2 linked regions of the Oryctolagus cuniculus genome follow. Each later gene encodes a partner of the first gene's protein in a complex. Links are inferred from orthologs where the notes say so. Each region holds a gene or a part of one and is shown on either strand. Other genes may lie near its edges.

Region 1 (3,500 bases):
GCCACAGGCAGAGCTGCCAGCTTGTATTTTGCAGCCTGTAAAAAAAAAATTCAATTTAGAAATTGAGTTGAGAATATCTGCCTGTGGTGATGTGCATTTTCCTCTCATTACTCCTTGCAATGCCTATTTAACTCCTAGTACATAATTAAACTTAGAGATTATATTTGTGGGGCTTGTGGGGGCAGAGGAAAGAAAATATTCCACAGGTACTACAATTGTTCCAATGATCAGAAGTTGGAAGAATGAGCTATAAAGAGTGGACAGCTAACAAATTGATTTTACTTGTAAAACAATCAATCCATGGTTTATTTAAACAGTTTCGGCAGTCACAGATTCCCACCCTTGCTTCAAGCTTTTATGTTGCACAGAGATTATTCCATGTTATGTATCTGGGGTTAAAAACAACATCCTATGGAAAACAGGATCCTACTCCACATATGCTATTATGTCCTTATAGTCTAGCCCTGACTGGATTCTTGCAACCCTCCTCTCCCTGGACCTCTGTGCATATTCCCTTGAAACACCAAATAGCTAACAGTAGGGTACAGTTAATTCTCTCCTGGAAAAAATTCCTCTCCTGATAGAATGAATCTTAGAGTAGAATATTACAACCATTGATTTCTGGCACCACCTATGTGTCATTTCTTCCTTATTTCCTTAATTGCTGGTTCTCTCAACATTGAAGAGAGCAGATCAATCGGGTTAATACTAGAGATTCCTGGGAGCCAGAGTACCATTGATTTGTCAGCAGGAGCAGAATCTTACCTTCCCCAAGTTTTTGGTTCCCTCTTCAACATTCACAGCAGCACTGTTGACATGGTCTGCAATGCTGTCAATCTTCTCCTGCTGAGACTAGATGCAAAGGAATTATGAGTGAGCATGCCTGCTGGGGATCAGCAGGAAGCCAACACACACTATTTTAATTCCTGTAATCAGGGCCCCGGGTACTGCAGCCTTGCAGTCTTAATAATGGTTCATTAATAGCATCTGATAAACCATGTCAAAGGTACAAATTCACTTTCGTGAAAAAAAGAGGGAGACTTAATTATTTGGTAATAAAAGGGTGGCACCTTTCCAGCAAAAAGCACCTCACACTGAAATACATTCAAACATATAAACATACTATTCTCCAAATGCATCAACTTTCCAGAGGAAAAAAATCCAAATAAGCATTTTCATGTCAGGTTGGGCTTGAAGGAAAAAAAAAAATCAGACCAAAAAAAACCTCTCTAACTTATCTTTTTTGAAGATTCTGTTTAAAGCAGGCAAATTTACCTTAGGAGTTAAAGTGCCTTTGATCCATTAAATACAAACTGCTGTGTTTTAGGGATAAGACTACAATATGATTTACCGTGAAATCTTTCTACTTGTGATAAGCAGTAGGGAGCACTGAATGAATTTACCATCCTATGTTTTACGCCTGAATACTTTAATATATTTTAAATTCATGACAAGTTAAAATGTCTCAGATAAAACATATTAATAGAGCATTCGACATAAAATCACCACACCTGTGCTGACAGAACAGTGACTGTGGTTCACATGATTTCTGGGTAGAAGAAATGCTGGGTCACCAAGTGCAACTCTCCAGTGTGCCCCCCCCCCCCCTTCTGACAGGTTGTTACCAGTCCTCTGTTCATCACCTCCAGTGACAGGAAGTTGCCACAGAAACACAATCCACTTTTTAAATGTCTAAAAAAAATTTTTAGATAGAATTTTAAGACAATATGCACCCATTTTAATGGTACAGTATGAGTTTTGAGAAATGTATAAACTGATGTAACCACCACCACAATTAGTAGAGAGACTATTTTTTTTAATTTGCAGAACAAAAGAGAAGAATCTGTCTCTGATCCCAAATAAATGTCACTTTCTACAATGAGTGAGAAATAAACTTAGAGAAGTATTTGCCCTTGACCTATTCATTTATACTGAGGTAGACATAAATAACACTATTCTGATTCCAATCATCATTTCATTTGAGGACATGAAGCCCACACAACACAGCCATTTTTTCTGACAGCTGTTTCCCATTAGCATTATTAACATTCCTTCCTTTCTCTCCATTCAATATGTGCCTTTTCACATATATTGGGACTTCTGTGGTATTCTTTCATTCTAATATTCTCCACTACTATGTTTTTTAAAATTTATTTCTACTTGAAAGGCAGAGAGAGAACTCTCCCATCCACTGGTTCACTCCCCAAAACACCTGCAACAACCAGGGCTTGGCCAGGTGGAGAAAGGGAACCAAGCTCAGTCCAGGTACTCTACATGGGGGGAGGGTTCCAAGTACTTGCTCTGTTGCCTGCTGCCTCCCAGGGTGCACATTAACAAAAAGCTGCAATCGGAAGCAGAGCCTGGCACTCTTATATGGGTTGTAAGGAGTCCCACATGGCAACTTGGGCACTATGCCGTCAGCCCTTCTCTACCACTGTCTTAGCATCTGTAACACAATCCTTTAAAAAGTCCTTCATCCGTTCTCCTTTGAACATCTCTGTCAGAGACAAGTACAACCTGAGCATGCAGCAGAGAAGCCTGAGGGCTTCTTAAAACAAAGATTGCTGGTTCCCACTGTCAGAGTTCCTGAGTTCTGAGAAGTTCACAGGTGGTGCTGATGCTTCCATTTCTCACCCTTTAAAAATCATTATATATGGTAAGATTAAGGGCACAGCCTTTGGTCAGATATTCTATATTCAAATCCCAGCACTGCCACTATCTGCCCCAGGACAAAATTACTCAGGCACTCTTCAGCTATCAAATGAGGATAATGATACTTACAGCTCATAGGGCCAAAGAAAGAATAAAATGAGATGTCTGCCAAGTAAGAGGAGAAAATAGAAAAAAAATCATCCTGATCTTCCCAAGAAAGTGTTAACTCTCATCTTTCCATCAAAAAATATAATAAGCTTTTTCCTATGATGCTTGAAAATTCTAGGGCAGTAAAACATGAGATCTCTCCTAACATTCATTCATCCAATTCTCATTTTTTCTCACAGTAAAACTTTAAGTCATCTTTCTTTTTCTTGTCTAGAGAAGCAAAAGTGCCAGCACTAATTATATCCAACTTGCCTGGACTTCTGACACTCTTTTAGGTTTCCATTTGAGACACCCTCGGCACTTCACACTTTTGCCTGTAACAGTCTGTGCTAGCAGATAAATCACAGGGGTAAAACTCTACAATCAACCTTCAGATCTTGATGAGTTGATGGGGAGAGGAAGAATATTCAATGTGTCTCCCTCCCCTCAGCCAAAAATAATTCCAGCAAGAGGGAGGAAACTTCCAGGATTATTGCCATTCCCATTCCCTAAGCATGATCGCAAGGTCTCAGGGAAATGTTTTTAATGTTCCTTCCTAAAGAAAGGTTGAACAATGCAATATGTAAAACTTTTCTTTTAAAGTGAAATTTCAAGATCATTTAATTTTAATTTTTTTGCAAAAATTATTTGGAATAATTGGAGGAGAGACTACAAGAAAAATAATTCTGGGATCACTGATG
Region 2 (4,201 bases), on another chromosome or scaffold:
CAGAAGCCCGGAGCTCCATCTGGATCTCCCATGTGGGTGGCAGGGACTCAAGCACTTGGGCCTTCATGTGCTGCCTCCCAGGCAGTAGCTGGAAGTTGGATGGGAAGTGGAGTAGCCGGGACTCAAACTGGCACTCCGATATGGGATGCAGGTGTCCTGAGCTGTGGTTTAAAAACTGCGCCATAATACTCACCCCCCGAGACATTATTCTAACATGCCATCAACATATGAAATTATGAATGCGATATTTCCATTCTTCTTTTCATACTACGTCTTTGAACTCTGGTGTGTATTTTACATTTACAACACATCTCAGTTCAGACTGGCCACATTTCAAGTACTCAACAGCCCAAGTGGTTAATGGCAACTGGTCTGGATGACACAAGTAGAGACTAAGAATTCCACTCCTCCTCCACCTGGCCTTGTGGCAACCTGAGAAGGGTGAGGCAGCCATGTTTCTTTGCCAAAGCAGGCTGGTACACACTTTGTTTCCCAGGCTATTTGTCCTGGCCACTAAAATTCATGTCTGTATAATCTAATAAACTTACAACCTAATTGGGGACAAAATTGTATTTAAGTTAGAAAAAAGATGTCTCAAGACAAAATGTATTAAAGACTTTTTAAAAGCACTGGTTTGAGTCCCGACTGCTCCACTTTATATCCAGCTTCCTGTTAACGTGTTCGGGTAGGCAGCAGAGGAAGGCCCAAGTACCAGGGCCCCTGCCAGCCACATGGGAGACCTGGATGGAGTGCCTGGCTCCTGGCTTCAGCCTGGCCCAGACCTGGCTGTTGCAGCTATTTGGAGAATGATCCTGCAGATGGAAGATCACTCTTATTCTGTTTCTTGTCCTCTCTTGGTGTTCTGCCTTTCAGATAAATCTCTCTCTCTTTTTAAAAGTATGTGTTGGTGAAGTTGATATTTCCTCTTTGGAACTGCCATTTCTTCTGGGAAGAGGCAAGAATGTTTGTTCCCTTCTGCAGGTCCCTGTTACTGTTCTTGTGTCTTGATAAACACCATCCAGGAAGAGAGGATTTTTTTTCTGGCCTTTCTCTGGCCCAGGGCCAGGTTGGTGGAAAAATCCTTTGCCCTGGGTCGTCCCTGTCTGGTTCATTGGGCTGTCCTCTGACCACTGATAGGGTCAGCAACCTCCCCCAAAACACACACACACTGTCCTCCCAAGGCACATGCAAGGCAATTGGGAAGGGAAGGGGAAGGGCTGGTGGGCCATCATTTCCTGATTACTTATTTTGTTCAAGGCACTGTCAGGCACATTGTGTGAGCTGTCTTTTACTCCTTTGCACCTGCAATACAGAAAGAGGTGAGGAAGTTCACTAGGCAGCATGCAGCCGGTAACCCTGAGCTTTCTGACACCCGAGCCTGGGGTGACAGCATTCCAGACTTTTCCCAGTGTTTGCAGTCCTAAGTACAAGGGCTTCGGCAAGATCTTGTCACCTCTGCACCTGTTTTCACGTGATCTCGGCCCGCAGGGTGCTTAAGACATCCCAGACATAAAAAGGAGTCTGTCCCGCCTCAGGAAACCTAGGAAGGTTGCTTGATCTTTGCTTTGTCGTTTCTGGCAAGTGGCAAGACCTTCGGTGCCCTCCCGGGGAGCCTTGTGGCTTTAAGTTTAAGCCCTGGTTGGGTGGAGACTGGGAGGGCGGGGGCGGGAGCCCGCCTACCTGAGGAAACCTGCGTTAGGTGTGGCGCGAGCGCAGGGATGGAGGTGGGCAGGGGCGGGCTGAAAGTTGGAGCAAGCAGGAAGTGGAGCGAGGGCTGCCCGGGAGGAAGCAGCCTGGGTGAGCTCCGCCGCTGACGGGCCCCAGCGACTCGCAGACATGGTGAGCGATCCGGACGGGGGCTGCTTTCTAAAGGGGGCTGGGGACTGGGGCTTGGCCTTGCCGAGAGGGGAGGGTGCGTGGTGAAGTCAGAGGGCTGGGGCCGGCGCTGTCTGTGGCCTCTCTGACAACTTGGCCGCAAATACTTCTGAGCCGCCTGGGCGGTGTTCCTGTCCCTGCCCCACTACCTCCCTCCCCTGGCCTCCGTGCTGGCCCCGAGCAGGGCCGCGGTGGGGGTTGGGGGGGCGTCCGAATTCCAGGCAAAGAGTTGCTGCCACTTTCTGCCGCCCCCCGCCCCCGCCTCCCCTGGCAGGGACAAACTGGGTGTTGTGACACCGCTGGACAGCAAGCGCCTCTGCTGTTCCCGGCTCAGATTCCAGGCCAGCGGCGGCGGGAGTTCTCCCACCGGGCCTCCCGCTTTCTCCCTATGCAGAAACCCAAAGGATCCCTCTGTACCGCGTCTAAGGAAGCAGCCGGGGGCCTGTAAAAGACCCATAAGTTGGTTCTCTGCGATAATCCAGCTTCGCCCCACACCCTTGGCAAGGTTCTGCCCCCCCCCCCCCCCGAGGGCCAGGCTGGGAGGCCTGTTTTCCCTCCTTGATCAAAAACCTTATCATGAACCCTGCAGGATGAGGCAGGCAGCAGGCGGGCAGCACTTGTCCTCCATTTCCCCCAGCGCCCAGGTGCCTGTTTTCACTTAGTATCTGCACAGGCTCTGCTGAGAGGTGGGGAAAGCAGAAGTGTGTGCTCAGCGGATCATGGCGCCGTGTGAGGGACTTGTTGGCTCTGGGTCATAGCCATGGAACTAGGGTCAGGCTGTCCAGGAAGCCCCGGAGCCGAAGCAATCCTCCAGCAGCTGTCCGGGAGCCGGAGCAGGCTTGGGCCAGGTGGGGCGTCCTGCTGGCTGGCACTGACAGGTTTAATGAAGACTCAGGGGGGTCCAGGAAGCAAGGGAGGGCTCTAGGACTTGGTAAATCGCGGGGGGTCTGCGCTGGAGGGGGACATTGTGAGATGCCAGCTCTGCAGTGCCTGCGACCCCATGAGGAGGAGGAAGCAGCCGAGAGGGAGTTAGCCATGCTGCTTTCTTCCTTGCCAGGAGCCCTGGGAACCCGAAAGTTTGAGTGATGGTGTCCAGCATCAGATCTCACCTGCTGGGGCTTACAGATGCATTAAAGCAGGAAAAGATAGTTTGTAAACAATGCAAGCATTGTAAAGGCTGACGTCCACCTGAGGCCTTCCACTGCCCTGGCCTCTGTGGCTGGGTCTCCCTCTGGTCCTCTGTCACTTGGCCTAATTAGCCCCTGTGCTGTGCGCAGGAGGCGGCCAGCGGAGGCGGAGATGACCGAGTGCGGAACCTGCAGAGTGAGGTGGAGGGAGTCAAGAATATAATGACCCAGAATGTGGAGCGGATCCTGGCACGAGGAGAAAACCTGGACCAGCTGCGCAACAAGACAGAGGACCTGGAAGCCACTGTGAGACGGGAAGACCCTGGGACCAAGGGAGGGCATGGTGAACGGGAGGGGCGAGGCTCTGCTGTTTCTGTTGCCTTTGCATCTATTTCAGGAATTGGCATGAGCTGGGTCCCCATTTCCTATTCTGCTCTGCTCCATTGATTGGTATGGGACCAAGGAATGAGTCTGATGACTGGGGTTGGGGTGGGGTGACCCACAGAGACATTTTCTGAGGCACACAGGTGGCTCAGTCAGCCCGCTCATTTTACTGTGTAGTGGTAAAAGCTGCTGCCTACAGTGCCAGCATCCCATGTGGGCACTGGTTTGTGTCCCGTCTACTCTTAGCTCTCTGCTATGGCCTGGGAAAGCAGTAGAAGATGGCTCAAGTCTTTGGGTCCCTGCACCCACTTGGGAGACCCAGAAGAAGCTCCAGGCTCTTGGCTTCTGATGAGCCCAACTCCAGATGTTGCAGCAATTTGGGAAATGAACCAATGGATAGAAGACCTCTCTGTCTCTGTCTCTCTCTCTACCTCTGCTTCTCTGTGACTCTGCCTTTCAAATAAATCAATCAATCTTTTAAAAAAATACATTTACAGAGGCCGGCGCTGTGGCATAGCCGGTAAAGCTGCCACCTGTAGTCCTGGCATCCCATATGGGCGCTGATTTGAGTCCCGGCTGCTCCACTTCTGATCCAGCTCTCTGCTGTGGCAGAGCATAGAAGACTGGCCCAAATCCTGCACCCATGTGGGAGACCCAGAAGAAGCTCCTGGCTTCAGCCCAGCCCCGGCCATTGAGGCCACTTGGGGAGTGAACCAATGGATGGAAGACTTCTCTCTCTGCCTCTCTGTAACTCTGCCTTTCAAATAAATAATAAAATAAATCTTAAAAACAAACAAACAAAAAGATTTACAGAG

The links.
Region 2: the proteins of STX17 (region 1) and VAMP8 are in contact, whole or in part, in a crystal structure (PDB 7BV6), measured with the Homo sapiens proteins. The link is inferred for Oryctolagus cuniculus from reciprocal best matches to the Homo sapiens genes STX17 and VAMP8. Residues at the interface, in NP_060389.2 of Homo sapiens: Ser171, Trp172, Thr174, Leu175, Asp178, Leu179, Glu181, Leu182, Leu185, Val186, Phe189, Leu192, Val193, Gln196, Glu198, Lys199, Ile200, Ser202, Ile203, His206, Val207, Ser209, Ala210, Asn213, Val214, Glu216, Gly217, Thr218, Asn220, Leu221; in NP_003752.2 of Homo sapiens: Gly9, Val13, Leu16, Gln17, Val20, Glu21, Val23, Lys24, Met27, Thr28, Asn30, Val31, Ile34, Leu35, Arg37, Gly38, Leu41, Glu42, Leu44, Arg45, Thr48, Glu49, Leu51, Glu52, Ser55, Glu56, Phe58, Lys59, Ser62, Gln63.

Annotation. Positions count from the first base shown.
Region 1 is NC_091432.1:203,661,166-203,664,665, reverse strand, and holds part of STX17 (syntaxin-17), read right to left. Parts: intron 1,693-3,500; exon of another isoform or gene 1,512-1,692; intron 853-1,511; coding exon 766-852; intron 36-765; coding exon 1-35. UniProt on the Homo sapiens protein: SNAREs, soluble N-ethylmaleimide-sensitive factor-attachment protein receptors, are essential proteins for fusion of cellular membranes.
Region 2 is NC_091433.1:117,071,450-117,075,650, reverse strand, and holds the start of VAMP8 (vesicle-associated membrane protein 8), read left to right. Parts: upstream 1-1,401; 5' UTR 1,402-1,836; coding exon 1,837-1,839; intron 1,840-3,152; coding exon 3,153-3,308; intron 3,309-4,201. UniProt on the Homo sapiens protein: SNAREs, soluble N-ethylmaleimide-sensitive factor-attachment protein receptors, are essential proteins for fusion of cellular membranes.